Linked DNA regions of Sus scrofa. The protein of the gene in region 3 interacts with the protein of the main gene of each other region in a pairwise test. Links are inferred from orthologs where the notes say so. Each region holds a gene or a part of one and is shown on either strand. Other genes may lie near its edges.

Region 1 (3,500 bases), on a different chromosome or scaffold from region 3:
ACCAGAAAAACAGATTCACTAAAGCACTGCACACTGGATTTGACAAGAGAGCACGTTTATAACTTAAATTAAGGGAACCCCTGTGCAGTTACTATTCTTTTATAACTGAAAGCACTGATTATGCATGGACCCCAACAGCTAAGGTGGGTGGGAGGAGGGTGGGGGTGCTTCCTTCTCTCTGGGCCAACACAGATCAGAGGGCAGTTCAAGAATCTTTGGCTCCTATTTCCATTTTCTTCTTTCCCTACCAACGTGCAGGAAACTGTTATACTTTTAAAAATGGGATCTGTCACTAACAACACAATGAGGCCTAACCATGAATTTTCTTCTATCATTTCCACTTTTGGTAGGTGACTGGCAGATATATTTGAATTGGTAGTGCAGCAATCAAGAAAGCATTAACCAGGATAAAGGACTACACTGAATTGAACTCGAATGATAGGACAAGAAGAATTTACTGGGTTCACCTTTATTTGGGGAGAATAAAAAGAGATGAAACCTCTGAGTATTCAGTGGAAAGGTCAAAGAAAGAGGGAACTGCAAATGAAGGCATTTTCTCAAAACAGAAATGCAGCTGTAGAGTTAAACTTTATTCAGGGTTCGATCCAGGTTCTTCTTTCCATTGGTAGGGAAAGAGGAAAACGGAAATAGGAGCCAAAGATTCTTGAACTGCCCTCTGATCTGTGTTGGCACAGAGGGGGTGAACTGCCCCCCCCGCCACCCCCCACCCCACCTTAGCTCGGTTTCTCTTTGTGAAACAATGGCTGGTTCTCAGGCATGGCTGCACAGTGGAAATGCCTCAGGTGCTATGAAAGCTTCTGAGACCTGGACCACAGGCCCTGAGATTCTGACCCGCTAGTCTGAGGCACATCCTGGATTTTGCACATCTCCTCATGGGGTTCTAATGCATGGGGGACAGTCAGTTTCATACTGGATGGGATGGGAGGGGAAGGGAAGAGAGGGTTGTTATTTATTAAATGCCTTCACACACCCCCCCAAAAAAAAACTTCCAGTAAACATGGACTCCTTCAGGTCACATTTTTAACTTGTCATTAATAAAGCCTTCACTTCTGTCTCCATCTTTTTTGAAGCTCTTTTGGGGAACCAGAAAGCTGCAGTGTAGCCATAATGATTCCTACATTCAAATCACCTTGCAGACTCAATCACTCAATGGGCCAGCTGCATTTACCAAGGTGTCAGTGAACTAGAAAGGAGCCCAGAGAAATTTCTGCTTACAAAACTCCTCACTCCCAGAAGCCTACTTTTTTATACTTGCATCTGAGAGTAGATGGCAGTGACCAGCATGTAGACACCTTAAAAAGATCCTTGCTGAGTCCCGGCAGAGCATTCGGGCCCTTAAGTGCACAGCCTTTGTGCTATGTCCTGATTCAGATTTCAGGCAGAGGTGAGAGACTTCCCTTTGAAGGTGAGAACCTCTAGAGTGACAAAACGTGGGTGATGTCACTCTGGCTCTGCTGCCGTAATTCAGCTCGCTGCGTGGGAAGGGCAGAGCTTGCTGTTCCTTCAGAAGCAAGGTGATTGCCTTTCCCACCTGCGCAGACCCGGAGGACTCGGCCATCCAGCGACGTACCTGATATTGTCACGAGGACATTCAGTCCCTCTAGCACATCCATCTGCTGAAACCGCCTCCGGTTGATCAGATTATAAACTTTGCCTTGCCCACTTCGGTCCAAAAGCATCAGGCCATTTTCGGTTCCCACCAGGAGATTTACACCTGCAAATTGAAGAAGCCCCCCAAGACTGACTCTTATGGGCTTTACTCTTCTACATCTAGGGTCCCCGTAAAAAACCTAAGAAACTCCCTTGCAAATATAAACTAACGGGCAAGCAGGCACTACAGTAGGGAGTGGAGAAGTAGAAACTCTGAGACAGTAATTAAATCACCATCCCTCTGGTAACGAAATTAGTTCTCTTTTATGAAGTGGCAGCAGCGTTCATTACAGGTAGCTCTGTACTACCTAGAATAGAATTTTTCTCAAGAGGGGCCTGAGGCACAGCTGTGAAGCTGACACAGTTTACCTTGATTCCTTTCCTGTAACACCCACCCTTTTCTTGGCTCTCTCTTTAAATCCTCCCGAGACTTCCCCAAGGTTCACCTCACTCCTATTCATGCAGTGATTTCCAGCCTACCCACCTTGGGCATAGATGCCCTCCTCCCATATCCTACAGGAGGAAAAGCCCTCCCTCCTCCTCACACCAAGGCTTAATTTGTGTCCTACACCCTTTGCTGGGGACATGATGAGCCAATTCAAGTGAAGGTGTTAAGGGCCTGAGGGTCAGGCAAATACTGACTGTGATTCTAGACCAGTCCACCTCCCATGCAGTTAATTCCTGTTACAAAAACTCCGGTAGGTAGGTAAGTGGTCTTGTCTGAATAGCTACGATCCTGAAGATTCATCCTTAGGCAAATGAGCACCCCGTGCACTCTCACCACACACACAGACGTGTACACATGCTGGGAGGTCGACTATACAATGGCCTATATTCACAAACAGGTAAATGTCCAACTTCTCTGGCTTATTGTACAACTTTCTTCTAAGTAACATGAAGGTCTGCTCTTTCAACCACATGTTCATAGAAACCATGACACATGTCTTTCAACCATCAAGTGTTTCAACCACAGGCTTGACCACATTTCCCATGAAATAGCTTCTAGGTTTCATGCTCGGCCCTGCTAACATCTCAAATGCGTTTGCCCTTGTAAAATGGTGGTGCCCTGAACTAGGCCTAGTGTGATATGTGGGTACAGATGGGCCATGTCCTCTCTTGATGTTTATGGTAACACAGACCAGGATTTTGATAGGCTCTCATCACACCTATCCTGAGTCTGAGGTCATCTCAAACCTGCAGATCTTTTTTATAAGAACTGCAGGTTGATGTTTTGAACTAAAATGGAAGACTCATCATTTGTCGCCCTTTTCAGGTTTTATCTTGCTACTCTTACTGGTATGGCTTTTGACAATTCACTGATAGATTCTGGGCTGCTTTTCTTCTACAAGGGGTCACATCCCCTTGTAGAATGTTGTATGCATCAGGGAGACAGAATGTGGAGCACATCACCTAGAGCTGGGCACACAGGGGTAGGTACTGAATGGTAGCTAGTCCTGTTGTTGGCTTTAGTCCATCACTATTACATGACAAGGTCATTCCGAGTCCCATTCTGTTATCCTGGGAATTAGGGTATTAGCTCTTTCTCCATATAATATTGTTTTCGAACTTTCCTGAGGTCAAGATGATCCCAAGTCTAACACCCAATTCAGTCAGCACCCTTCTGATGGTTAAGACCCATAGGCTTTTCACGTTTGAGGGTCAATTCATTAATGAACAGTAAAAAGCACCAACTCACCCCACAGAGCTGCACAAAGTATTTCTGAGTTGAATCGCTTCTTGTATTTTCTGATTTCTGGCGTGTCGCTATGAGGCCGAATGTTGGTTGGGTTTACGTTTACCACTGAAATCTTTCTTGCTTCATTTAGTTT
Region 2 (3,500 bases), on a different chromosome or scaffold from region 3:
GCTGGCCATCGAGCTGAAGGTGAAGCAGGGGGCGGAAAACATGATCCAGACGTACAGCAACGGCAGCACCAAGGTGGGGGCAGCACGAGTGAACACACCCCTGTGTGCACATACGCCTGGAGCACATCACACAGTGAGGGGGTTTGGGGGGGTACCTACATGTCCCCCATGGGAGGTTTGGGCCCTCTGGGTTGGGAACAGAGGGACTGATGAATGACTGAGTGGCAGAACTGGGGTGCAGGCAGCTCATGGTGGTATGTGGGAAACAGAGTGACTGGGTGATGTCAGACAGACACACAGCAGTTAGCCCTGGAGACCCAGCAGCCTCTGTGGACAGGGCAACATGCAGCCTCTCACTGCTACTGGCATCTCTCTGACATGTGCACGTGCAGGTCAACACCTGGAGTCACACACACCATTATAACATCTAGAGACACAGCAGTAACAACACTTGGACACATGGAGGATGACTACCACAGGGCTCTCTGGACACGTAGAGACATACCATCATAATAACCCCAGGACACACAGTACAGGCCAACAGACGTCTAGACACACAGACACGCACACCATTAAATTCACACCCAGAGAGCAGAGTTGTCACACAGTCATTCCCCCCAGCTATACCAACACCAAGAACACAGTCACAGGTCTGCACCCACACCCAGAGATACACCCACAAGCACAGCCAGACCTATAGCTAGAGACCCGGGAGAGCACCCATACCTGTGTGCACACACAAAGGTGAATATTACGTGGGAGGGCACAGACCATGCCAGATTTTTTTTTTTTTAAACCTTTTATTGAGGTGTAACAAAGGGATGTGTAGTATATTTTTTTTCTTTTTTGGCCACCCCAAGGCATATGGAGTTCCCTGGTCAGGGAACTTGGACCCACCTACGTGACTCCTGTCAGGGCTACACCCACCACGGGGAACACTGAGCCACACGTATGCCTTTCTGACAGCTGACACAAATACAGTGCCTGCTGGTGCCAGGCACAGCACTGAGCCCTACATACAGATTAGCTCCTTTAATCCTCAGCCGAGTGGTGGTTGCAATCCAATTAGCAATCCCAGTCCTGTAGATGACGAAACAGGCCCAGAGAGGTTGAGTGGCTTGCCCAAAGTCACACAGATAGCAGTCTTAGGTAGCAGAGCCAGGATTCAAATGCCATGGGTTACTCAGGGCCTGCACTGGTGTGGACAGAAGAGCTGCTGGTCAGTCTCCCATCTGGCCAGCCTTCCTCTCACGGCCCATCTCTGCCTCTAGGACCGGAAGCTGCTGCTGACGGCCCAACAGATGCTGCAGGACAGTAAGACCAAGATTGACATCATCCGCATGCAGCTCCGCCGGGCACTGCAGGCCTGCCAGCTGGAGAGCCAGGCGGCCCCGGATGAGGCCCAAGGTGAGTCCGTTGCCCTGATACAGCTTAGCCTGCATCCTATCTTGTAGAGTTCTGCTCCCAGTCACATAGGGGGTTCCTTTCTGGGGCAGGGAGGTGAGTGCTCTGACTCATCATGTGACTGGAACCCATTCTTGACCCTCTCTGGGCCTCAGTTTCTCATTTTGTCCCACTCAAAGTTTCCACTTGATCAAGTGTTAGCAAACCAAAGCTCTTGGGCCAGATCTGCTACTGCCTTTTTGTAAATAAAGTTTTATTGGCACCCAGCCACACCCATTCATTTACTGTCACCTAAGGCTGCTTTGGCATTGACAGCAGAGCCAAGTAGTGGCAACAAAGACTATGTGGTCTGCAAAGCCAAAAATATTTACCCTGTGACTCTTACGGAAAAGATGGGCAGACCGCTGGACTAGGTGGTTGCCTTGTCATGTTGGCCCCTGTGGTGTCCTCAGTGTGTGTGTTTCTGTGAGTGTTTCAGTGTATGAATCTCTCGGGGTGGGAGGGGTCTCAACCTGATTGTCAGCCTGAATTTGTGACGGAGTCTTGATGTATGCATGGGCTACTGATGTGTGTCAGTATTAATGTGATATTAGCCATGGGGACCAGGGGTTGTATGGATGCTCTGTAACTATGATAATTTGCCTGTCACCATGAGAAATAGAGAAGTGTCAACTGTTGGTGAGTGATAGTGCATTTGGGCTGCTATAATATACCACAGTACCACAGATAGGGGAGGGGGCTTTTAAACAACAGACATTTATTTCTCACAGTTCTGAGGGCTGGGAAGTCCAAGATCAAGGCGCTGGCAGATCCAGTGTCTGGTGAGAGCCCTCTCCCACATTCACAGACAGATGCCTTCTTACTGTGTCTTCACTTTGGAAAGGGCCGGGGAGCTCTCTGGGGCCCTTTTTATAAGGACACTGATCCCATTTATGCAGGCAAAGTCCCCATGACCTAGTCATCTCCCAAGGGCACCAAGGTCACCACCTCCAAAGACATCACACTGGAGGTTGGGTTTCAACATATGAAGTTTGCAGGGAAACATGCAGTCCATAGCAGTTGGACCTGTAACACGGATGACAATGTATGTGTCTTTGTAGTGCGGAGGTGTGTGTGGTTGTTTGTATGAACTCTGAATGCCTACGTGAATTTCTCAGTGTCAGTGTGCGATGGTATGATCATGTCCCTGTGCCTCTGGGTGACACTGTAACCTTTGGTGGCAGCTTGCTTTTGTCCCTGCAAGTATAAAAGTCTTGGTAACTGGGCACATGTGACAGCAGTCCTGGTGAGTGCCACACACCTGTGGGTGACTGTGACTCTCTGAGTGCCAGAGTCTGAGTCTGGGTCATTATGCAGGACAATGAGACTGTCCTTGGAATCTACAGCCGTGGATAAGGGTGACTTTGACCTCATGTCCCTAGGTGACAGGTTTCCCATACCTGTGTGACAGTGTCTATCCCTGTGCCATTGGATAACTGTGGCTGTGTCCCCAGGACTTTGCCCTGAATATGGTAGCCAGCCTGTTTCCCTGTGACTGGGTCTCTGTTTCTATGAGTATTGCTGATGCTACCTTGCCTGTGTGACAATGTGGCAGCATTTCTTTACCTGTCCCTATGCCTGATCCACATGGCAGTGTGGTTGTGTTCCTGTGATTCTCCTTGGGTTGAAATTAGAACCCTGGGAGTTTTGCCACCATGTGACTGTGTCCTATGAGGGTGTTTATGTTTTGTGACTGTTTTTCTCTGCCCTTGTGACCGTGTCCCTTTGCTTGAGGTTGACAAGGCACATATCTATGTAATATCAGCCTCAATCCTGTGACAGTGTCCCTGTGTAGCAGCGTGATAGCATCTTTGTGAGAGTGTGTGTTCATCTGCCTGTGGGTATGTGTAACAGTGCCTACACTGGTGAGAAAGTGATAATGCCAGTGTCACCCTGTGAGTGACAGCATAACAATGTCTGTGTGATGTTGTCCCTGTTCCCCTAATTGCATTATATTTCATGATGTGGGTAGTTACCATTCACTTATCCAGACCCCTACTGGAGGAAATGGGGTTGTTTCTAGTCTTTTGGTCTTGAAGGCTTTGAATAACCATGAA
Region 3 (3,500 bases):
AAGGTTTTATTGGACTTACATATTCAAAGAAAAACTGAAACATAACTCTTTTACCCTTTAAAATTTTAGATTAGCTACTACGGAAAACAGCAATGAGATTCCTTAAAAAACTAAAACAGGGAACTCTACCCAATATTCTGTGAGAATGTATGTGGGAACAGAATCTGAAAGAGAATGGATATCTGTACATTTATAACTGAATCACTCTGTTGTACAGCAGAAATTATCACAACATTGTAAATCAACTATATGTCAAAAAACTTGAAAAAATGGAAAAATACCCCAAAAAACTAAAAACAAAGCTATTACATGATCCAGAAATCCTTTTCCTGGACATATGTCTAGAAAGACAAAAACTCCGATGACCTACATGCCGAGCAACAACAAAAAGATACAGGCACCTCAATGTTCACTATTTAAGTAGCCAAGACAAGGAAACAATCCAAGTGCCCATCAACAGATGACTGGTATAAGAAGATGTGATATACTGGAGTTCGTGTTGTGGCATTGTGGCGCAGTGGTTAACGAATCCGACTAGGAACCATGAGGTTTCGGGTTCAATCCCTGGCCTTGCTCAGTGGATTAAGGATCCTGCATTGCCATGAGCTGTAGTGTAGGTTGCAGACGCGGCTCAGATCCTGTGTTGCTGTGGCTCTGGCATAGGCTGGCGGCTACAACTCTGATTGGACCCCTAGCCTGGGAACCTCCATATACAGTGGGAAGTGGCCCTAGAAAAGGCAAGAAGACAAAAAAAAAAAAAAAAAAAAGATGTGATATACACACACACACACACACACACACACACACACACACAATGGACTATGACTCAATCATAAAAAAGAATGAAATACTGCCACGTGCAGCAACATGAGTGAACCTAGAGAATATCATACTGAATGAAGTAAGTCATACAAAAATAAATACTATATGGTATAACTTATATGTGGAATCTAAAAAATAATGTAAATGAATCTATATACAAAACAGAAATAAACTCACAGACACAGAGAACAACCTTGTGGTTACCAAAGGGTAAAGAGAAATGGGGAGGAATAAACTGGGAATGTGGGATTAAGAGATAGGAATTACTATATACGAAATAGATAAGCAATAAGGATTTACTATATAATACAGGGAACTATATTCATTATAATAATCTATAATGGAAAATAATATGAAAAAAATATAAAACTAAATCACTTTGTTGTACAGCTGAAACTATAACAATATTATAAATCAACTATATTTCACTAAGAATAAAAATTCTAGCTTGAGTAATTTCATATAATAATTTTAAATTACTATACCTTGTTATCTGTTGTAATCTTAAGTTGATGCTGAAGTTTTGTAATTTGCTCATTCAATCGGTCAATTTCTACTTCTTTTTCTTGCATTATTTGAGCAAATTTCCCAAATAGTAAATGTTGGTCCTGAGTAGAGATGGCACCAGATTGCTTTATGGCGAATCCCAGTTTTTCCATTTCATCCTAGGGTCAAAAATAACCATCTCAGTAGGATAGGCATTACAATGTGATTTTTAGAACATTCTGTCACTTAACTCTTACCAAGCTATCGTGCCCAACATGTACAAAAGGAAAAAATTAGAGCTTTCATAAAATTACTGTAAATAATTCTTAAAATAGTTTGACAAGGGTCTCCAAAATTTTTCATTTATGACAAATTCAAAAGTTTATGTTGGGTTGAAGATAAATTCCATGAAAATCCATTTGCAGTTAATGTTTCCCTGTTAAGTATTATTTAGCAGCTGGATTTAGCAAATGCTTAACAGTAGAGCTACACGAGACCAAACAATGAGTTATTTAGAGGCAAAGTTTTTCCTAACTAATTACCTTAAATAATTTGTTTTCTTGTTCAAGTTCTTGTAGACGGGTAGTAGATTCTTTTTTCTGTATTTCTAATTGCATATGCAGTTGCTGGACTTCTTCATTCTTATTTTCCAGTTCTTCTCTGAACTGTTCTAACTGTTCTTCTAAGTTCGTGATCTTTGACATCAAAATTAGCAAAAGGAAAGAGAAAAAAAACTGTCCATAGAAATGATTACTTTTCAAAAAAGAATGAACAGTGCTGTGTTAGTTCAATAGTATATAAGCTTAAAAGACATGAGCCATAAGAATACTGGAAAGTAGTCTCCTTAACCCAGATGTAACTGTGTGGTTTCCAGACATTTTCAAAGTGAACACCTTTAAACTATCCTGCCCAAAGCAAAGAGATCTTGGGAGGAAGGATACAAGGAACCTTTTTCCTACCTAAAATTATCCTCTGGTAAAGCATAAAAGAGTTATGGGAGAAGAGTCCACATTCATTTTAAAACTTATTTTATGTTAAATTAATTGCTATCAAAAAGGCTCAAGAAAGCTGTAGATTTAAGTCAGTTATTTCAGCCACCAAATGAGACTAGCTCAATTTAGTCCATACTAATACTTAACCTAATGAAAGGGGTGGCAGCCATGAGCCTTACTTGAGCAGAAGGGAGCAGAGTCAGACTCTAAGACCATGAGAGCCTCAGGTCTAAAATACAGAAACTTAAAAATTAAGTTAGTAAAACCATTTTAGAAAAAAATTATAGTGCTGCTATTTGCAGGACAATTGAAATTCGGCTCATTTCTTAGCAGAGATTACCGTTAATGGTAAAGCAATTGCTCTCTGATGGTTATACAGAAACTGAAACTAATGGTGAACATTAAGAGCTAGTATTTAAAAAATTGGGTTCAAGTGAGGACAAGAATAGTCATTTAGCTCGATGCTTTGTGCTTCTTAACACATTTTTAATGAATGAATTTTCGAATGTGTATGTACCCAATGATCAAAACTGCTGCATTATAAGCAACCTAAGGGAGTTCCCGTAGTGGCTTAGTGGTAACGAAGCTGACTAGTGTCCATGAGGACACAGGTTCTGTCCCTGACCTTGCTGACTGGGTTAAGGATATGGTGTTGCCAGAAGCTGTGGCAAAGGTTGCAGATGTGGCTCAGATCCCACATTGCTGTTGCTGTGGTATAGGCCGGCAGCTGCAGCTTCAATTCTACCCCTAGCCTGGAAACTCCCATATGCTGTGGGTGTGATCCTAAAAAGACCCCTCCCCCCAAAAAAAGCAACCTAAGGAGTTCCCCTCGTGGCTCAGCAGATTAAGGACCCAACAATGTCTCTGTGAGGATGTGATTTGATCCCTGGCCTCACTCAGTGGGTTGAGGATCAGGCGTTGCTATAAGCTGTGGCACAGGTTGCAGATGCAGCTTGGATCCAGTGTTGCCATGTCTGTGGTGTAACCTCCAGCTGCAGCTCCAATTCAACCCCCAGGCTGGAACTTCCATGTGCTACAGGTACAGCTATAAAAAAATGATAGCAGTAACAAATAAAATAAAAGCAACCTAAGATCCAAGAGCTTAGAAAGCACCTATAAATCATTTATTACCTTAGAACTTGAAAGGGGGTATATTCTGATTATACCCCAACATGAAATCAGAATATCTTAGCATTAGCA
Region 4 (4,051 bases), on a different chromosome or scaffold from region 3:
CAACTGAGCAAGGGCAGGGACCGAACCCACAACCTCATGGTTCCTAGTCGGATTCGTTAACCACTGCGCCATGACGGGAACTCCTATCCAAAGTTTAAAAAGAAAAAAACGAAATTTCATTACAATAATAATAAAAAAAAAAAGTAAGCCAGAACAAGCAAAATGCAAGAAATTAAGAAATCTCTTAAAAGGGAGTTCCCATCGTGGCCCAGCAGAAACGAATCCGACTAGGAGCCATGAGGTGCAGGTTTGATCCCTGGCCTTGCTCAGTGGGTTAAGGATCCGGTGTTGCCATGAGCTGTGGTGTAGGTTGCAGACGCGGCTGGGATCTGGCGTTGCTGTGGCTGTGGTGTAGGCCAGCAGCTGTAGCTCTGATTAGACCCCTAGCCTGGGAACCTCTATATGCCTTGGGTGCGGCCCTAAAAAGCAAAAAACAAAACAAAGAAATTTCTTAGAGGTTTACACACAACCCCCCTCCCATCCCACCAATAACTTCGAATAAGTACAGCCCAATCTGAGAAATCCTACTTGGTAGATTTTAAAGAGGATTCTCCAATGTGTGGCTGTCATTATCTTCAAAAAGATATGGCTCATTCACTTATGCATTCATTCAAAAAACATATGCCCTGATACCAGGTCTTGTTTACTTAGGAAAAGAGAATCAAATAGGACACATCCAGCCCTCAATCCAGGCTTCCTGCCTCCAGTTCATGAATAGCCTTTGCTCTCTAGTCCCACAACCCCCACTCTGACCCAGGAATCTACATCTTGGGTCTAGCCTAAGAATTAAGTATTTCTCCCCTAAATCACCACTCAACTCTGACTCCAGCCTCCAAACAGATATTTTACCAGGGCACCCATTTCAGTATGGAAATCGGAGCCTCGCAAGCTAAAGCACAGACACCAGGGATATTAGAGCCATAGATGAATGCACTTGGGGCATTTTACTTTTAGGCATTTTTCCACACTGAACTTGAGTTACACGCTTCATGTAGGAGGCACTCCACAGCCCTATCACCAGAGACTAAAAAAGACTGCAGGACTTTGGCCACTGCATAGGAATCCTGCTGTTACTTATTTTTGCACATCTGTCTCTCTCCCAGAAGTCATCTCTTCTCCAGTTTAAACATCCTGGTTCCCTCCGTGCAAGCTATGAGGCAAGGCTGTCATTAACTTTATTTGAAACTTTGATGCAGCACTGCTACACTTAATCACAGCTTCAACTAAGTATAAACAACAGTTAATCTAACCTACTAGACCCACTCAGCAAACACTAGCCAAACAAATTTTGTTGGGTACTGTCCTAGGTTCTAGATACCAAGATCTGGTCCTGTCCTCTTGCAGTGTTGTCTACTGGGGGAAAGAAATAGCAACTAGCACTTACTGAGCAATTACTATATGCCAGACTGTGTTCTAAAAGTTCCAAATGTAGTGACTCATTTAATTCTCAAGAGAGGGAGGTATTATTACCATCCCCATTAGGAAACTGAGGCTCTGAGAAGTTAATAAATTCACCCACATTCACATAGGAGGATGTGATGCTTGCAAAAAAACAAAGTACACCAAAACAAACGGATAAAAGAGGTGTCATGGGACCAGTGGGGGGGTGCAACTACTTTTCACAAGACGAAAAATTCCAGAAGAGTTTCTGAAATAGTTTTAGAAGGAGGGTCAGAAAGATGCCAAGCGTAGGAGGATATTCCAAGAAGGTGCAAAATGTAAAGATAAAGAGCAAGAAAAGACATGGTGTGCTCTGAAAACTGACAAATTTGGTGCCCTATAAACACAAACCGCACTAAAACCTTATTTCTATTTTACTCCCTCTCTATCATCCTTTGGTTCACGAATGGCATTATCCACTACGTTTCGGGAACCCTGTTTGTCCTATCTGGCTTCTATCCAGGCTGAAGTGGAATGACAGGAAGAGCGAGGCCATGAGATGTGTAGGGAGGGCAGACAAGTTATGCCTTGGTAACAGTCGTGGGGATGCGGGCGTAAATGGGCGCAAATAACCAGGCACTCAAACTGCTTCCCCTCTTCAAGGAAGTCAAGGAAAAAACAAAGTTGTGGCCACAGCACTTCTTCATTTCTGAATATCAGAGAGAGGCACGGTGCCTGGGCTGAGAAATGGGGGTGGCTCAGAAGATCGACTCTCGCTGTTCCTATCTCCCCGACACACCGTGGGTTCCACCAGAACGGAGGGCGCGTCCTCAATTCAACAAATGTTCACTGAGGGCCTAACCAGGGCCCCGCAAGTAATCAAGCAGGTAAATCAAGGTCCCTGTCCTTAAGGTTCTCAGATAACGCTGAGCCCTGCACCGGGTAAAGGTCCGGGGGTCGGCCCCGCACCGCCCCCCACGCAGACCCCGCAGGCATCCTCCCCGCCTCCTGGACCCCCGCGCGCGTGCGCATCAGCAGCCGGAGGGGCGGAGGGCATCCGACGGCGGGAAAAGGGGACTTACCTCGGTATTCCTCCACACACCCCCCTTGATCATAATTCGAGGCATCTTGGCGGCGGAGTGTCTCGGCAAGCAGCCGAGTGGAGATTCAGAGAAGTAGTAACGGCGCTGCGGCCACGGGACCCTAAGGCGCCACTTCCTCTAAGCGCGACCTTCTGCTTTGAAGAGATCTGCGCAGGCGCAAGGGGGTGTTGCGGGGACAGGGTAACAAATCTCGCGAGAACTCAAGTGGCTGAGAGGAAATAAGTGCCTTGCTGTTAAAGCGCTGCTCTAGAAAGACTGACAGAAAAACATCAAACAGCTCTAGCCAAAGCGGCCTATGCCCGGCGCAGGCCCAAAATAGGTGGAGGAAACCACGGCTCTCGCGAGGTGTCAGCGGGGACTGTAGTTTCGTTGGGATTGGCCGTGACGTCACCTAGTGGCAAAGAGTGGGAACGTCGCGCGTGTGGAGTTTAAGCTCGCCCGGTTTAAAAAGAGCTTTGTTAATTTATCAGTTTAGCATGTTATTAGGCATTTAACGCATGGAAATCTATCCACAGAATACACAGGAAAAACCCATTGTTTATTTAAGACCAAATTTCCTAACCTGTAAAATGGAGATAATAATAGTACAACTTCAGAGGGTTGTCCTAAGGATTGGGGGGGGGGGGCGGGGGGAGGGTTAGGACTGCGCCCGCTGCGTTTGGAAGTTCCCAGGCCAGAGATCTAATCAGAGCTATAGCTGCCGGCCTACACCACAGCCACAGCAACGCAGGATCCGAGCTGAATCTGCAACCTGTACCACAGCTCAGGGCAACACGGGATCCTTAGCCCACTGAGGGAGGCCAGGGCTTGAACCTACATGGTCATGGATACTAGTCAGATTCATTTCCACTGCGCCACAACTCCCTGTCCTAAGGATTTAAATGAGATGGTAAACCTAACCATAATATTTGATACATAACAAATGCTCACAAAAGTAGCATAAATCATAGCTGGGGCTGGGATTCAATTCCTGGCCCAGGAACTTCCATATGCTGTGGGGTGGAAAAAATATATATATATTATTACAATAAGGGCAACCCCAAGAGATCAGTGGTTGTTCCAGAAAGCTGCAGAAATGTCATGTCAGAGATTTTCATTCATTGCTATTCAGTTTATGTGGATTAATAGTAGAGCGTTACCATCCACAAACATGAGAAAGGAACTCCTGTCGTGGCTCAGCGGAAATGAATCTGACTAGTATCCACGAGGACGCAGGTTCCATCCCTGGCCTCGCTCAGTGGGTTAAGGATTCGGTGTTGCCATGAGCTGTGGTGTGGGTTGCAGACATGGCTCACATCTGGCAAGGCTGTGGCTGTGGCATAGGCTGGCAGCTACAGCTGTGATTAGACCCCTAGCCTGGGAACCTCCATATACCACGGTGCAGCCCTAAAAAAAAAAAAAAAAAAAAAAAAGATAAAAAATTAGACAAAATCAGGCTGGGTTGAAATCTTGCCTCTCTCATCAGCTTGAGTAATAAACTTGCTGAATGTCAGTATTCTTATCTGAAAAGTGGAGTTAACAATTCATACCTCATAAATTTGAGGGGCAAATTAGTTGACATACCTAAA
Region 5 (4,106 bases), on a different chromosome or scaffold from region 3:
AAAAAGATGCCTCTGTTTCTAGGGGAAGATAGCCAACACTATCATGGATGACTAAGATGGTCCTGGGTTTGCTTTCTCAAACTCCACTACTTCCTAATTGTAGGACTTCTTGAAAGGGAAATTAACCCCTCCAAACCTGTTACCTCATCTGTAAAAAGAGTATGATTTAAAAACAGGGGAGGGAAGAACTGAAACAAGAATGGCACAAAGTTAATAATTAATGAAGCTGATTGATAGACATTTCACTATACTATTCTCTTTTATGAGTTTGAACATTTGCATAACAAAAAGGAAAAAGAGAGGGAGTTTAAAATAGTACCCACTTCATGTAATAATTGTAGGGCTTAAAGAAATCATCATCATTATTACAAGGAATTTTTACAAATCCTAGTTATTACCAGGAATGTTTAAATATCCATTTAATCATCCCAACAACCCAAAGAAATGCATAGTAATCATCTCCATTTGGCAGATGAGGAAACTGAAGCTCACATAAATTAAACAAATCCTGCAGCTGGCACAGGGCTGAAATGCGATCTGAAACCAGAGCTATCTGACTCTACCATCGCAGCTGCCTTTATTTCAAGAATAGCTCATTGTGTTTGACGTGGTTGATATCTGCACGACTATGGTATTGCTTATTCATCAAAGGCAACGGTTTCCTCGCTCTTTTCTCATAGCAGACCCCTTTTTTCAAATGCAGCCAGTACGCAGAACTTCAGTAAATAAAACCCCTAAAAGCTGAACAGCTCTGGTTGAGGTGGGGATTGGGACTCCAGCAGGGCCCCTGAAGCACCATAGGGTCTATGAGGATCCCGTGAAAACTGCAGATAGAAGCCATCAAAAACACCAACCAAACCCAGAACCCCAAGAACTGCAATTAGGGACAGCCTCGTTGGTATAACGCAGCTTCCAGTTTTCTGTCTCCCATCACATTTGATTCTCATTATCAACTCTGAGGTGGACAAGGCAGGGCATATTAGCCTCACTTTGCAGATGAGAAAATCAAGGCCAAAGGGAGTTAAGCAACTGGCCAAAGGTGTGCCAGTTCGCTTCTTGGCCAAGCACAGACTGGAATTAGAGTCTGGCTCCATTAACTCCCTGTGACCTGGCAGAGAGGGTGCCATCGACTGGAAATTGCCATTGACCCTTGGTCCATAAAGTGGACAATCAGCTCCTTGGCCACTGAGAGCTGAACACAGCCCCACAGGCCCCCTGCCAAGGCCTTGTCCCAGAGCAGATGGTGGTGGGCAGAGGAGAGGGGCTCGGTGGCACTGGAGGGCCGGATAGCAGGATTTTGGCTGTAGATAGGCCATTGCCATCCCAGCCATGTCCTGCTGAGCAGGGAGCAAGGGAGGCGATGACAGCCAAAGTGCTTTCCACCTTCCTGTGTTGCAAGTAAGGGAGCTCAAAAAAGGACAGCAGGTAGCGCAGAACTGGGGAGCAGTTACACTTTGCATAGAAATTCCTGAAACCAGATGCAGCTGATAATTGCCTGAATGGCTCCCTCACTCCAGAGCATCTCTGAGCAGAGCTGGAGCATGTGTTGAAACAGGCAACACTTAATTATCGCTTAGTCTTTAATTAGCACTTAATTATTAACACCTAATCCATCTGTAAAATGGGGACACTAATACCTGCCTCATAGAGACTCTGGGAGGATTAATTAATGTTTGCAGCCCACTTTGAAGATGCAAAGCAGCAAACAACTGCTCAGTGGTGGCATGAATAACTCGGTGGATTTACTTGCTCTTCCTAACGAGGTCCCTTCTTCCTCTCTGTTGCTCCCTTTCCTTTCTAATATCCATCCCCAACAACATCTGCCCAACTTTGCCCTGGTGGAGAAACATTTAGCTCTGCGTTTCCCAGACACAGGATTTCCCATCCAGGAAACGGGCTATTTACAGCCATCTTCCCGCACTTTAATTTTCTATTATGTCCTCTGAATATGTCAATGCCTTCCCAGTAAATATTTTGATGTGCGCTCTTGCAGCAGCTTCTGTGGAGGCTGAATGGGACAGCTGCTCCCTGTATTAGGGAATTCCAGATGTGGTTTAAAACCATCAGACTCATCTGTGTCAACGCCTAGCCTTTGGGGGTGGGAGGGGAGAAGGATCTCCCTGTGCGTCTGAGGAAAGCCGTGGACATCTAACCCTCAGCCTTGGCTAGGGTGGCTTTTCAAGGTCTTCAGACCTACATCTGAGTAGCCTATGCCTTGGAATGAGAAATTGCCCTTAGTGGGCTGGGTCAGAGGCAGCAGCAATACAGCCCTGGTCTGGTTCTTTGCCCAGGTAACTTCAGGACCCCAATCAATGCTCCTATAAAGACGGGGAAAAAGGACCATTGTGGGTAGAGGAAATATACACAACCTTTAGGGTTTAGCCAGATTCAACAAGAGGTCAGAACATTCCCCCGGAGGGTGAGCCCTCATCTCCTCCCTCCTCCCCTGGGTCATGAAAGGGGACACTCACTCTTCTTGGAAGCTGGGCCCGTTGTCTCTTGGAGTGCCAGCCACAGGGGCAGAGAGCTGCTCCTTTGAGGTCCTGGGCTGCAAGGCCTCAGGCAGGCCCTGAACTCTCTTCCAGATTTCATGGCAAGTCTTGTCTAAGCTGTCTTGGGGTGTGTCCTGGTGGATCCAGATGTATCTGGGAAATGGGCCTAGGGCGGAAGGGCGCTTGGCCACCAGGGCCGAGGACAAAGCCAGCCCATTCCCACTGGCCATCCTCTTCCTCTCTTTCTGGAAGCCCCTTTGTCCACCCAGAGCTCGAAAACAGGGCGACCATCCACCACCACCCCTCATTCACCAGAAAGGGAGATGAGGATGGGGCAGAAGCAGGTCAGTTCTGTCTGGCTGTTGGTCCAGCAAAGTGACTCTGTTCAGAGGCCTTCGATGTGTGTATGAGTGGTGGCTGGATGACAGCTTTCTTTTAGGGAGGGGGAACTTATTTTGATTTGTTTTTATTTGCTCTTTCCTGACTTTTGCCCCCCTCACCCCCTCCCTTAGAAGAAAATATTTAAAAGTCAACAAAAACCAGTAGCTTAGTAACCGTAGAATCCCCCTGTGCTCAGGAACCAGGCGCCTGAGCCGGCAGAATGACATCTGGGAACAGATGAAAGGGGAGGGCTGGCTCTCCCCACAGTCCCTGGCTCTCCCCACAGTCCCTGGCACTCCCCCGTTGCGACACGTCCGCAGCAGCCCCTGACACCTTTTGGTGTCTGGGGCTCAGCGCATCATCGCTGGCTAAGCCTGGAGGATGACCAGGTGAGGGCCTGGCACTGTGCTAGGCACCAGGGTCCAGCAGCCTGCCATGGGATTCTCGTCTGGCTTTCCCAGGGACCCCGCTCCCACCTAGGGCCAACCGTCCCTAGGTCGGCAGAGGCCGCTACCCCCTCCCCCCCCACTTGCTCGCCCACTGCCGCCTCGGGTCCCCCCTCTCTTGGCTACTCTTCCGCCTGCAGGAACACTGTTGAGTGCCCTGGCGACCCCCCCGGAGACACCTGCCACGGCCCTAGGGGTCGACGGGAAGGGTCCCAATGCTTTAAAAGAGCGCTGTCTCAGCGGGGCAGCTGGGGCCGATTCGCTTGCCGGTGGCTCCCACACCCTTTCCGTCCAGCGCTGGAATTCCGCGGAGGGTTTCAAAAGCAACGGCTCGGTGCGCGCGCGCTGCGTCCTAGGTTGGGAGGCCCAGGCCCTCCGGTGGGCGGAGGCCCCCAGAGCGCTTCCCCCGTGAAAAGTCGAGGGCACCGCGCCCTCCGCCTCGTCCCCCTCGCACCTCCGCACCCTCCTGAGAGCCTGCCGGTCCCTGCCCCAGGATCGCTGATTTCACCCCTAACTGTCCTTTGCTTGGGTGCTCACCGTGTGCCAAGCGCCCGGCTTTCCGTGGCCGGTTCACTCCGAACCAGCTCATGAAGTTAGTACCTTTACATATTATCCTTCCACGTTTGAAGAAACCCAGTCACAAAGTCCTGAAGGGACTGAGCCCACCAGGAACAAGGTAGTTGGGGTTCAAACCCAGGCACCCCAGGCTGCTGAAATAGACCGGCCGGGTCCTCCAGCGCTGCGTAAGCCTTCCCTGGGGGTGGACGGAGGTGCAGAGAGAAGGGCT
Region 6 (3,500 bases), on a different chromosome or scaffold from region 3:
GGAGCTGTAGCCACCAGCCTATGCCAGAGCCACAGCAACACGGGATCCGAGCCGCATCTGCAACCTACACCACAGCTCACGGCAACGCCGGATCCTTAACCCACTGAGCAAGGGCAGGGATCAAACCTGCAACCTCATGGTTCCTAGTCGGATTCGTTAACCACTGCGCCACGACGGGAAATCCCCGCCAAGATTTTTTTTAAAGGATCTCAGAAATAACGTGTTGGAAATTGTCATTTAGAGTCCGAAAAGCATCATGGTACAAACCTCCACCTAGTGCCTGTATCCTTGTATGTGTGCCTCTCAGCCCCTCTCCTTAGGCCTCAGACAGACAACCACAGAAATCTGTCAGTTAGATATCTATGGCCCATCTCTTTTTTTTCTTTCTTTGTTTTTTCATGGCCACACCTGCAGCATATGGAAGTTCCCAGGCTAAGGACTGAATGAGAGTGGCAGCTGCCAGCCTACACCACAGCCACACCAGATTTGAACCACATCTGTGACCTACACTACAGCTTGTGGCAACGCTGGATCCTTACCCCACTGAGCGAGGCCAAGAATCAAACTCACATCCTCATAGACACTATGTCAGGTCTTTGACCCACAGAGCCACAACAGAACTCCCTGTGGCCCATCTTAACAAGCTAAATTATTTCACTGAAAACAAACAGTAATCAAGCACCAGGCAGTAGGCCAGGCATCATGCATCCAAAAATATTTAAGAGGAGTTCCCGTCATGGCTCAGCAGTTAATGAACCCGACTAGTATCCAAGAGGATGCTGGTTCAATCCCTGGCCTCCCTCAGTGGGTTAAGAATCCGGCATTTCCATGAGCTGTGGTGTAGGTCACAGACACGGCTTAGATCCCACGTTGCTGTTGCTGTGGTGTAGGCCAGCAACTGTAGCTCCGATTCAATCCCTAGCCCAGGAAACTCCATATGCCATGAGTGAGGCCCTAAAAAGACAAAAAAAAAAAAAAAAAAGTCTGAGTCAAGTGTAGAACTTGGACCCACAAGCAAATGATTATTAATGTGATGAGCACTGAATGGGGCACATCCAAAGGGCTGAGGGACAGGATGGAAGGAGAGGGTCATCGGGGGTGGGGGGGGGGGTAGGAGAGGTCTCACACAGAAGTGGCTCTGCCACCTCCCTGGCTGATAAATCCCACAGCCAGGCTGAGACAGGGCAAAAGGGCCGGGGCCAAGAACATCGGATATGCAGTAGAGAGCAAAGGAGATCCACTGCTGGGAAGGAACATGAGCCTCACATTTTCACGTACTCCTACCAAATCCTAATGAGACTCGACTTCCCTGCTTACGCATGCATATCCCCACATGCACACGTGCACACATGCACACAGCCCAGATGGAAAACACAGTCTCTGAACAGGATGAGCCAATGGGTTGCCACAAAGCCTCTCTGCGCGGGTTTCTCTGGGGACTTCTCAGGGTAGAACAGCCCTGTCTACCCCCAGCTGTACCCCCTCAGATGAGTGGACAGCAAGTCATGATGCTGGAACTTGCTTCTATACCGCCTGTCCCAATTTCCAAAGCACTCACATTCCAGCTTGAGCCACAGAACAATCTTGTGTGATGTCAGCATCTCTAAATAAGGAAACTGAGGGCCTGAGAAGTTTAAGGACCAGAAACAAAATCAGTAGTCCCTGCTGCTGAGGATGCCATGAGCACTGCGCATGCAGAAGCAGCTCCAGATCGCCCCCAGTTTGGGGCATCATCATCTTTATATCCACACAGCGACTGACTCCACCTCCCCGGCTCCCTGTCCCCCTTCTCCTGTTTAAAACAGAGCAAGGCTGAGCTAACCCTGCATCACCCAGACCAGAAGCTGCAGAGGAGCCTGAAGCCAACAGAGAGCGAAGCAAGCATCTAAGGGACAGAGGATGAGAACGAGACCAGATTAGAGTTCCAACAGAAGGAGGAGAGATGCAAGTGTAGCAACATTTTTCCATGGCCAGTCACCACAGGGGCTTCCAGTGGGGACTGGGGCAACCCCAGAACCGCCGTTTCCTGCGGCCCCCCCCCTCCTCAGTGAGACCATCCCAGCCCACAGGCTCGGGACACACCCACCTCCAGCCGCCTCCGCTGGCCCTGCAGGCAGTGCAGCAGCGCAGGCTCACAAGTGCGGAGCAGTGGGTCCCAGAGGTCAGCATCCTGAGGGTGGCTGCCCTCGGGTCTCGAGGGATCCAGGGAGCAGAAGGAGGCAGCGTCCATGTCCAGCAAAGGAAGCATCTCGCACTCCAGTCTGGGGCTGTCCCCCGCCATCTGGGCAGCATCTGCCAGGTCCTGAGGAGCCTTGAGGGGTGAGGCGGGAGAGAGAAGCTGAGGGTGTTCATGGGGCCCGTCCACACCAGCAGCCTTGGCCACTGTCTCCTCGGGGCTCTGATGAGAAGCCTCAGCCTCTCTGGGTGGCGGACAGCCTTCTGCTTCTCCACGTTCCCCGGCAGAGACCAGGGAGAGGCGAATGAAGCTGAAGTTGGAGGTGAAGACATCCTGAGAGCCAGGAGGGGTGGGGTCGACCTTGGGGCCACTTCCGAGGCTGCAGTTGGTGCCACTTCCCTCCTCTGGGGATAGAGAGCCTCTGGCCCAGGTGTCCAGGGCTCCTTTCCCACAGGCTGCTTCCCGACTCGGGCTCGGAGCCTCCCAACTGTCCATGGATGGTGGCGCCCCCTGGCATATGTTGTCCCCGGAGCCACACGACCTAGTCAGCCTGCTGGGCAGGGCGCGGCCACCTCTGGGCTGAATCCCTGAGAGACCCAGGGTTCCTCTCCCTGTTGTCAGAGCCAGGCCTCGGGGGCCCGTGGAGGTCCAAGCAGAGGCTGCTGTGCTCCAGGGAATGAGGGTCCCGGTCGAGGGACCCTGCCCCTGGCCTCCAGGGTCACGGCCACATGGTCCTGTCCTGGGTTCAGAGTGCTGGGTCTCCTCACTGCATGCCCCTCCCTGGGCCCGGAGCAGACTGCCCACTGCTGGCGAGAAGAACCTGATCCGGGGCCCAGCTGCACTTCTCATGTAGCCTGGCCTCCGTGCCAGCCGCCTCCTCCGAAAAGACGCTGCAGGTGGTGAGCCATCTTGGCGGCCTGGGAGGAAAGAGGACACGCACCATCAGCACACACATCTCCCCAGCTCAGCTGCAGCTGCATTTGGAGAACGTCCCCGGGTTGGGGGCAACCCTCGGTGCATCTGCCAAAGAGATGCTGGTGCAATGGCCATGGGGCCAAGCTGCTACCCAAACCCTGATGATCCCTGGGAAGCGTCTGCCTGGGATGTGTAGAAACTGCACAGCATCCCAACCCCTCTATTTCCAGAGCAGCCAGCACTGCTGTGAGTTATACTGACAAGACTGCAAGCGCCTCAGAGACCCAACTACGGCAGCACATTCTGAGCCTCCAGCATCTTGCCTGTTGCTCTTTTAGGCACACAGAGCTTTCCCCCTGGAGCGGCATGGAAAGCAAGCACTCTGAAGCCAAACACCAGCACACTCCCA

Evidence for each region.
Region 1: the proteins of AKAP9 (region 3) and TNIK interact in a two-hybrid assay, tested with the Homo sapiens proteins (2 studies listed by BioGRID and IntAct). The link is inferred for Sus scrofa from reciprocal best matches to the Homo sapiens genes AKAP9 and TNIK.
Region 2: the proteins of AKAP9 (region 3) and PKN1 interact in a two-hybrid assay, tested with the Homo sapiens proteins (2 studies listed by BioGRID). The link is inferred for Sus scrofa from reciprocal best matches to the Homo sapiens genes AKAP9 and PKN1.
Region 4: the proteins of AKAP9 (region 3) and CDC5L interact in a two-hybrid assay, tested with the Homo sapiens proteins (2 studies listed by BioGRID and IntAct). The link is inferred for Sus scrofa from reciprocal best matches to the Homo sapiens genes AKAP9 and CDC5L.
Region 5: the proteins of AKAP9 (region 3) and C6H1orf94 interact in binary tests that used the Homo sapiens proteins (3 or more experiments, as listed by UniProt). The two-hybrid records come from large-scale screens. The link is inferred for Sus scrofa from reciprocal best matches to the Homo sapiens genes AKAP9 and C1orf94.
Region 6: the proteins of AKAP9 (region 3) and DISC1 interact in a two-hybrid assay, tested with the Homo sapiens proteins (2 studies listed by BioGRID and IntAct). The link is inferred for Sus scrofa from reciprocal best matches to the Homo sapiens genes AKAP9 and DISC1.

Annotation. Positions count from the first base shown.
Region 1 is NC_010455.5:109,660,846-109,664,345, forward strand, and holds part of TNIK (TRAF2 and NCK-interacting protein kinase), read right to left. Parts: coding exon 3,368-3,500; intron 1,736-3,367; coding exon 1,592-1,735; intron 1-1,591. UniProt on the Homo sapiens protein: Serine/threonine kinase that acts as an essential activator of the Wnt signaling pathway. Recruited to promoters of Wnt target genes and required to activate their expression. May act by phosphorylating TCF4/TCF7L2.
Region 2 is NC_010444.4:64,814,684-64,818,183, reverse strand, and holds part of PKN1 (serine/threonine-protein kinase N1), read left to right. Parts: coding exon 1-73; intron 74-1,271; coding exon 1,272-1,407; intron 1,408-3,500. UniProt on the Homo sapiens protein: PKC-related serine/threonine-protein kinase involved in various processes such as regulation of the intermediate filaments of the actin cytoskeleton, cell migration, tumor cell invasion and transcription regulation.
Region 3 is NC_010451.4:72,017,626-72,021,125, reverse strand, and holds part of AKAP9 (A-kinase anchor protein 9), read right to left. Parts: intron 2,043-3,500; coding exon 1,851-2,042; intron 1,488-1,850; coding exon 1,308-1,487; intron 1-1,307. UniProt on the Homo sapiens protein: Scaffolding protein that assembles several protein kinases and phosphatases on the centrosome and Golgi apparatus. Required to maintain the integrity of the Golgi apparatus. Required for microtubule nucleation at the cis-side of the Golgi apparatus.
Region 4 is NC_010449.5:39,383,146-39,387,196, reverse strand, and holds the start of CDC5L (cell division cycle 5-like protein), read right to left. Parts: upstream 2,801-4,051; 5' UTR 2,508-2,800; coding exon 2,463-2,507; intron 1-2,462.
Region 5 is NC_010448.4:90,439,627-90,443,732, reverse strand, and holds the start of C6H1orf94 (uncharacterized protein C1orf94 homolog), read right to left. Parts: upstream 2,801-4,106; coding exon 2,472-2,800; intron 1-2,471.
Region 6 is NC_010456.5:58,908,455-58,911,954, forward strand, and holds part of DISC1 (disrupted in schizophrenia 1 protein), read right to left. Parts: intron 3,094-3,500; 5' UTR 3,026-3,093; coding exon 2,087-3,025; intron 1-2,086. UniProt on the Homo sapiens protein: Involved in the regulation of multiple aspects of embryonic and adult neurogenesis. Required for neural progenitor proliferation in the ventrical/subventrical zone during embryonic brain development and in the adult dentate gyrus of the hippocampus.